2 linked regions of the Danio rerio genome follow. The protein of the gene in region 1 purifies or fractionates together with the protein of each later gene. This does not show direct contact. Links are inferred from orthologs where the notes say so. Each region holds a gene or a part of one and is shown on either strand. Other genes may lie near its edges.

The links.
Region 2: the proteins of ciao2a (region 1) and narfl purify together in Homo sapiens (affinity purification with mass spectrometry; 4 studies listed by BioGRID and IntAct, with this or other methods). This does not show direct contact. The link is inferred for Danio rerio from reciprocal best matches to the Homo sapiens genes CIAO2A and CIAO3.

The regions. Positions count from the first base shown.
Region 1 is NC_133200.1:1,559,574-1,564,196, forward strand, and holds the start of ciao2a (cytosolic iron-sulfur assembly component 2A), read left to right. Parts: upstream 1-1,774; 5' UTR 1,775-1,798; coding exon 1,799-1,910; intron 1,911-4,126; coding exon 4,127-4,291; intron 4,292-4,623. UniProt on the Homo sapiens protein: Component of the cytosolic iron-sulfur protein assembly (CIA) complex, a multiprotein complex that mediates the incorporation of iron-sulfur cluster into extramitochondrial Fe/S proteins.
Region 2 is NC_133178.1:17,536,630-17,540,937, forward strand, and holds the start of narfl (cytosolic Fe-S cluster assembly factor narfl), read left to right. Parts: upstream 1-1,464; 5' UTR 1,465-1,490; coding exon 1,491-1,556; intron 1,557-2,898; coding exon 2,899-2,994; intron 2,995-3,079; coding exon 3,080-3,223; intron 3,224-3,302; coding exon 3,303-3,435; intron 3,436-4,308.

The sequences.
Region 1 (4,623 bases):
TGTGTGTAATGAGTGTTTAGTATGTATAGTGTGTGTGTGCATGTGGTGTGCTGTATGTACAGAGTTGTGTGTGTACAATATATAACATGTAGTACAGAGTATTTACAGAAAGAAAGTCAGTGTGTAAAGTATGTAATACTAAGTGTGTGTGTCTGTACAAAGTGTGTAATATGTACAGTGTGAGTGTGTGAACTAAGTGTGTAGTATGTACTGTGTTTGTGTGCACAGAGTGTGTATGTTGGTGTATAAAGTAGTATGTACAGTGTGTGTATGTGTAGAAAGACTGCAGGTCTGCTGTAGTTTGAGGTGTGTGTGACTCACTCACTCTACACAGGTGTGCAGTAGTGTATGCTCAGGTTAAGTGTGTGTGTGTGTGTGTGTGTGTGTGTGTGTATGTGTATGTGTGTGTTTGACTCACTCTACACAGGTGTGCTGTAGTCATGTATGCTCAGGTTAAGTGTGTGTGTGACTCACTCTACACAGGTGTGCAGTAGTGTATGCTCAGGTTAAGTGTGTGTGTGTGTGTGTGTGTGTGTGTGTGTTTGACTCACTCTACACAGGTGTGCTGTAGTCATGTATGCTCAGGTTAAGTGTGTGTGTGACTCACTCTACACAGGTGTGCTGTAGTGTATGCTCAGCTCCCCTGCTGTCGCTGATGTTCCTCAGACTGGTTTCCCCCTGCGCGTTCACGCAGCACAGCAGTGACGGACCCGCGCTCAGCTTCACCCTCCGCCAGTCTTTCAGCCCCACACAGAGCTCTCCATCCGCCAACAAATCCACCTCCAGCACCGCCTGAGCTCCAGCATCACTCCTGCTCAGAGCCTCCAGCATCCTGAAGATGGACAGCAGACGAGGAGGAAGAAGAAGAGGAAGATCAGCTCAGGAGCTTCCGCCGATGAGCGCGCATTATACAATAACAAACAGCACACTATGGAGATAAATAATAAACAGTCCTCGAAGATTAAACTGCAGGATTTAATCTGAAATACTGATACTGTGAGTTTCCGATCTAAACAAACCACAGCTGATCATCACATGACAACCACATGATCATAGCTACAGCAGGAGGACCAATCAAACCGGAAATAAACACTTCTACTTATGCGCGTTCATGGATAAATGAATGTAAATATCTATGATGCGCGTTCACTATGCTTATGTCAACTAACGTTACCTAAAATTATTTGCCGTGATTAGTAAATAAAAGTTTGGCTTTGTCTCTGTTTGAGTCTTTAATAAGAGCAATGTTTATTTTATGTATAATAATGCAGGTTTATTTAAACTAATCTAAATCTATACAAAACAAAATAAAGGAATTAATAAAAAAAATCAAATATTAACAATATTATCAGCAAAAATAGTGTAATTAAAATAAAAATTAATGTGGTGTTTTATGAATTTATACATTAAAAATGTTGCAAACTATAAATACTATTTTTTAATTAATTTAGCATGTGTAATACAAAACAGTAGAAGTATATTGACTAGTTTCTATGGATAATGTGTTGATATAAACAAAAATCCCCTTAATAAAGTGTATTCTATAGTCTTGGTATAAAATAATTAACGCCAAATTAATTAAAATGGTTTTTTAACATATTTTATAGTTTATTATTATTTCAAAATAACTATATAATATTTTAAAATAAATGGCATATAATCCCAAAAAACAACGCCAAAAAGTTTATATTTCCATCGACATTTCTTTGTTGATCACTCTGGTCTGCGTGAAAGAGGAAGAGCGGACGCGCATGCGCATGTCAGTGTCCGTGATGGAAATGATGGACCGGACCGGATCATGGAGCTTGTGTCCGGACTTTTGAGCAAAGCATTGTTTTTAACGGGACTTTCTAACGAGACGAATGACAAGAGACGAAAGAAGATGGAGGAGAAAGCGCTGGAGGTGTACGGTGAGCCCTGATGACCTCAATCAAGAGAAAAGTCTGTGGTGTTTTCATGGCACGATGACATTGTCAGGCGGAAATACTATAGTATTTTTATATATTACTATAGTACTGAATAATCATCTTCATGGTACTTTAAGTAGTGCCATATTACTACTTTGTTAAGTCAATAAGAAATGTGATACTGGATGTATTTTATCTGATACGTCAAAGATCATATTAACATACTGATAAACAGAAAACGGGGTATAACCATGGTACATAAATGGTGTCCGGTGTTAATGCCATGGTATTTTTGTGGTTGAGTCATTACCGTAATTATGTACTCTATTTTTCTGTCACCATGGTACATAGTTACAATTAAAAACTTGGTTTACTATGCTAAATTGATTGTGGTTGTTGTGATTGTGGTATTAAATCATTACCGTAATAACATACCATAATACTGAATCATTACCATAATCATTTACCACAGTATTTCCCACAAACTTTAAAAAATGGTCTCAAATTATCATTTAACATGGTAAAAACTGAAAAGTATGTAACTGAAAGGTATTAGCATAACCAGCAGTGATGATGCTACTTTGTAATACCATGCTATTTTCATATATACCATAATAATGAATCATTACCATAATCATTTACCAAAATATTTCCCTTAAACTTGAAGGAATGAAGTTCAACTGTTTATATTTTATTAATGTATCATAGTATTAGTATTGAATCATTACTGTAATAACATACCGTATTACAGAATCATTACCGTAATCATTTACCAAAATATTTCTCTTAAACTTTAAGAAATAAAGTTCAACTGTTTTTATATTATTAATATACCATAGTATTAGTATTGAATCATTACCGTAATAACATACCGTAATGCTGAATCATTACCATAATCATTTACCACAGTATTCCCTTAAAATTAAAGAAATAGTCCCAAATAATGATATAACATGGTAAAAACTGAAAAGTATGTAACTGAAAGGTATTAGCATAACCAGCAGTGATGATGCTACTTTGTAATATCATGCTATTATCATATATACCATAATAATGAATCATTACCATAATCATTTACCAAAATATTTCCCTTAAACTTGAAGGAATGAAGTTCAACTGTTTATATTTTATTAATGTATTAGTGTTGAAACATTACCGTAATAACATGCCATATTCCGAATCATTACTGTAATAACATACCGTAATACAGAATCATTACCGTAATCATTTACCAAAATATTTCTCTCAAACTTTAAGAAATAAAGTTCAACTGTTTATATATTATTAATATACCATAGTATTAGTATTGAATCATTACCGTAATAACATACCGTAATGCTGAATCATTAACAACAGTATTCCCTTAAAATTAAAGAAATAGTCCCAAATAATGATGGAACATGGTAAAAAACTGAAAAGGAAGGTAACTTAAAGATGCTAGCATAACTAGCAGTGATGATGCTACTTTGTAATACCATGCTATTATCATATATATATATATACCATAATAATGAATCATTACCATAATCATTTACCACAGTATTCCCTTAAACTTGAAGGAAAAGTCAAACTGTTTATATTTTATTAATTTTTCATAGTATTAGTGTTGAATCATTACCGTAATAACATACCGTAATACTGAATCATTACCATAATTATTAACCACAGTGGCGATCCAATGGCGCAGTAGGTAGTGCTGTCACCTCACAGCAAGAAGGTCGCTGGGTTGTTGGTTCGAGCCTCGACTCAGTCGGTGTTTCTGTGTAGAGTTTGCATATTCTGCCTGCATTCCGGTTTCCCCCACAGTCCAAAGACTGTGTGTGTGTGTGGATGTTTCCCAGAGATGGGTTGTGGATAAGTTGGCGGTTCATTCCACTGTGGGGACCCCGGATTAATAAAGCCGACAAGAAAATGATTGAACTAAACACAGTATTCCCTTAAAGTTTACGAAATAATCTCAAACTATGATGTAACATGGTAAAAACTGAAAAGCAACATAACTGAAAGATATTAGCATACCTAGCAGTAAATAATGTTAATTATTATAATACTGAGTCATTACCGTAATCAAATCAGTATCAAACGGTAATGACCAGTGTATTATTAAATAGAATATACAGTGTGTTTTGATAGCAAAACTCTGTTATTTGTCATTTTCTCTCAGATATTTTTCTGTTTAAGGTGAAACTCTTAATATGCTGATGTTGTTGTTTACACAGATGTGATTCGGACGATTCGTGACCCGGAGAAACCCAACACTCTGGAGGAGCTGGACGTGGTGACGGAGAAATGTGTGGAAGTTCAGGAGCTCGGAGACGATGAATATTTGATCGTCATTAAGTTCTCTCCAACTGTACCACACTGCTCTCTGGCCACGCTGATAGGTGAGTATGTGACGAGATAACACACACACACACTCAAACGGACATCACTGCACCACACAGATAGCAGGAGACACAATAAAGGAAACACTTCTTGTTAGGGCTGGGCGATATTGCAAAAAAAATACATTTAGGAAAATTATGATTTTTTTAACCTTTTTTTTAATTTTACAACATTACTAAGGCAAATAGTTTAAATAGTCAAAAATAAAAATATTTTAACTAAATATCTCTTTATAATAAAATAAACAGAAGTGTTAAAGAGACTCTCAAACTTAATAAATAAAATGTTACAAAGTGTGTGCAATGGTAAAGCGTAAATACTGACAAAAAAC
Region 2 (4,308 bases), on another chromosome or scaffold:
AAAAAAAGCAACCATTGACTTTAGGACTGCACAATATAAAACTAATTATTCAGTAGTAGAAAGTTAAAAAGTTGTATATTTCCGTGCCTGTTTTAAATTCATTTGAAAAGCCTTTAAAACATATGCAAAGGATAAAGATTCTCTCTGTTTTGGTTACTATTTGCAGTGACTCCAAAAATGTCATGTATTCTGAATTGTGGTGTTGATCAACTATAATCATCCAACCTCAACATTGCATATTCTGCTATGTGACTTTTGTGGACACAAACATTGCAATATTGATGCTGAAACAATATGTTGTGCAGCCCAAATTGACTTGCATAGTATAAACAGCAAATATGGACATCAATGGTTATAGATTTAACGTTTTTTTTTTCAAAATATCTTCGTTTGTATAGAAAAAAATTAAAATAAACTCATAAAGGTTTTTGACAAGTAAAGCGAGAGTAATGATTATGTAATTATCAGTTTTGGATGAACTGTCAGGTTAGCAAAAAAACATAAACGATGAAAAATATCACCCTTGTAGATCATAAATGTGCATAAAGATCAAGTTATGTACTTATAATACATTTAAAAATAATGCAACACTTCGCAAATTCAAATGAGTGTCTAAAATGCATCAATAATAAAAGTAGATCAACAATATTTAGTGCATAAAATGTTTGCGTACAATTTTAACTTTTCAGCATCAAAGCTAAATTGTTTGTTGCAAAAATAAAACATATGACGCTATATTAATGCCTCACTGTTGTTACTATTATAGAAAATATCGAACAAGTGTACTTACTCTGTTAAAAAAAATTCTCGGTCCCTTTACTAGACGAGTTTAAAAGGCATATAGTCATACAGACATACATTTACTTCCGTACGGTGTTGATGGACCATCAAGCGAACGTGTTTTTGAGTTACCGCGACAAGCTTAACCAGTTTAACGTGTCGATTTTACAACTGCTCTTTTGCACAATTAATACATGGTGGTAAACATGTTTCTGTACTTGTCTACAAGAAACACGTTAACCCGCAAACGATGACAGTAAAAGTGTGCGCGTCACATCGACGCTTTACGGCAGGTAAGCAAACACTCCGCGGCTGTAACATGTGTAATATATGGGCATATAAACAATGCAATTCAGCGTGTCATGACAAATGTGACCCTGAACGACAAAAGCAGTCAATATATGTGTCTAAATATATTAGCCAAAAATACGCTGTCTAGGTCAAAATGATATTATTATTTATATAATATTGAAATGTTCCGTAATCTATCTATCTTGTAAAGAAAAATTGTCGACACTGAATGACTTCCCTCGACGTAACCTGACAGTTGACCTTTATAAAACTTTTTTCTTTAAGTCCCACCCTTTACCTCTCACTCTTTGTTTTGATTGGGCAGAGTCACTTAAGCGCTGTCTATGATTGGAGGATTCAGACGTCGTGCACTCAGCCCTACCAACCACCTCTGAGAAAAACGTCTAGCATTAAAAACAATGGCGTCGCATTTCAGCGGAGTGCTTCAGCTCACGGATCTGGATGATTTTATCACTCCTTCTCAGGTTGATTTGTTGTTTTTTCAGACTATAATAACATTATAAACGGATAAATTTATATAAATTCAGACCATTTACTGGTTCTCCGCTGAATGTATTTGTTGGTTTAAAAAAGCACCGGTCAGATGATCATGATATAAACTGATGTAACGTTAACTGTGGATATGGGTAACGTTAATTTGTATATAAGCGTTCTTGTCAAGTCTTGCAATGTCAGATACAGAAAATGACAGTAAAAACCTAACTTAGTGAGCTTAAATGTAACCAATGACTGTAAGAATGTATGTATTGAGGAGCCGAATACGCGAACATAAAGCCAACTTTACCCCTATTTATCCCTCTGTAGCCCTAATAAGTGCACTCAAACACACTAAAATAATTAAATGACATCGCAGTAGGTATCAGTATATAAAACTAAGTGTTTTATTTCTGAAAAAGACAGTGAAAACAGCTTTAAAGCAAATAAGTTAACGAATAAGCCATTATTGATTTTTAAAATGTCATAAAATGTCATACATTTTAACTATCACTGAAGTGTGAAGTTATTTTTGGCCACTGTAAGTACAGTACTTTAATAGTTTAAGTTACTTAAATGATATGATTTCACAGTTTTCGTGGGGTCTTTAAATGTTTTACATTTCAAAAACAAAATTGTAGGCCTTTAAGAAATTTTGTTTTGTAGGTCTTAAATAATTTTAAACAAGTCTTAATTTTCCTGTGTCTATCGGGCCGACCAATCAATAGTGATACTCAATAAAAACTGTAACTGTCTTCTGTACAATAACATTTTTTAGTTTTCCATAGACTGTTGCGCTTAAATTTAGTTAATTATCTTTTTTTTTCTTCTATGATTTACTAGATTTAGCTTGTTATGATGCCTTTAAACTATGTGGTTAAGAAATAACTCAATTAAAATTTTTTTCGATAAGGCAAGTTAAGATCTTTTTCATTGGCTTAACCATGCCATTAGGAAAAAACATTAGCGTTCAGCCCTGTTTAAGTCTGAAATTTGCTTTATAATGGTCTTCAAAAGGTCCTAAATATGACTCCTGAAACCTGCAGAAACCCTGTGTTTTGTGCAAATTAAAGCCATATTTAGTTGATCATAAATACTGTATTTAAATGAATTTTTTGAATATAATTTTGAGAAGAAAATTCTGAAAAAAAGTCTAATTTAGCCTTCAGTGTCACTTCTATTTATTCTTCGACAAATGAAAAAGACAGCAAAATAAAAACATGTATTTGAAATATCAATAATTTGTACAATTATTAATACCCTTTCTTACTCCTATAATCAATTTAATGCCCTTATGCTGAATAAAAGTAACTTAATTTCCCTGAATCACAGGAATGTGTGAAACCTGTGAAAGTGGAAAAGAAACAGGGTCGATCTGTGGCGAAAATCCAGATAGAAGATGATGGCAGTTATTTTCAGGTCCATCAGGTGAGTTTTGATTAATGTGACTTTTGTTTTGAGCCAGCATTTGACAAGAGATGATGGGCATATTAAATAAATGCTTGGTTCCCAGGATGGCCAAAGACAAAAGTTGGAGAAAGCAAAAATTACTCTGAATGACTGTCTGGCTTGCAGTGGCTGCATCACATCTGCTGAAAGTGTCCTTATCACACAACAGAGTCACGAGGAACTGTACCGCGTGCTACGTCATAATAAGGTGCTCGTTTCAGGTATTTAGCTACAGTTTTTGTCCCAGTAGAATAATTCATCTAAAACATGCTCGTGTCTGTCAGCAGCAGGTTAGCAGTACTGAGCAGAAGGTGGTGGTGGTGTCTGTATCGCCTCAGTCCAGAGCTTCTCTTGCTGCACACTATGGTATTGGCAGCAGTGAAGTGGCTCGTAAGCTCACCAGCTTCCTGAAACATTTGGGTGAGTTTGAGTCTGTAGTTTATATGAACAGCCATCATCCTATGGGAGACTTTATTTCTGGCCACAGAATTAAAAATATAATTTTACAATAGGGATGGTCCGATCGATTGGCTGATTGGCCGATATTCACATTTCACAACTTGATCGTTACTTGCTGATCTGGCCGATCTCATGAACTGCTCGCAAGTGGTTGTTTACAAGTTTACAAGCAGAGGAAGATGCACGTGCATGCCCGGGTTCTGCATCAGCACTAGGGATGGGTATCATTAAGGTTTTAATGGTATTACTACTTTTATCGATACCACTTACCGGTTTGGTACTTTAACAGTTCTCTTATTGGTATTTTTTGCAATGTTTTTTTTTTTTTTTTTTTTTTATGAAAAAAACAAAAGGAACAGAATTAACAACACTTTATTTTATTATTACGTTTTTAATGTAAAGTAAAATGAAACCAATAATTGTAAAAACAAATGAATAAATATTTTCCTGTAAAAGAATGTAGAATGATTGGAAAATGAAGGAAAATGACTCAGTTTTCATTGTAACTGACTGAAACTGTGTGTTTATTTAACTATTAAAATGATAATAATTTAGGTGATTGACTGCTGGCATAACAATGTGAATAATGCAATGTTACCGTTAGTAGCTAGGCAGTCCAAACTTTTCATTGATTTTCATTGCAGTTAATGCACTTTTGAAGGATACTTTCACTTAGCCAGATTGTTTGCGTTTCGGCGTATACAAGAAAACAACTTGTTGCGTTTGTTGCAGTGGGCATTGTCACTGTCCACTCAGAAAATACAGCCCATTTGGTTCACTCCGCAAGCTTACGAACTGTGTGTGTGTGTGCGCGAGTCTGTCGCGAGCTCTGTG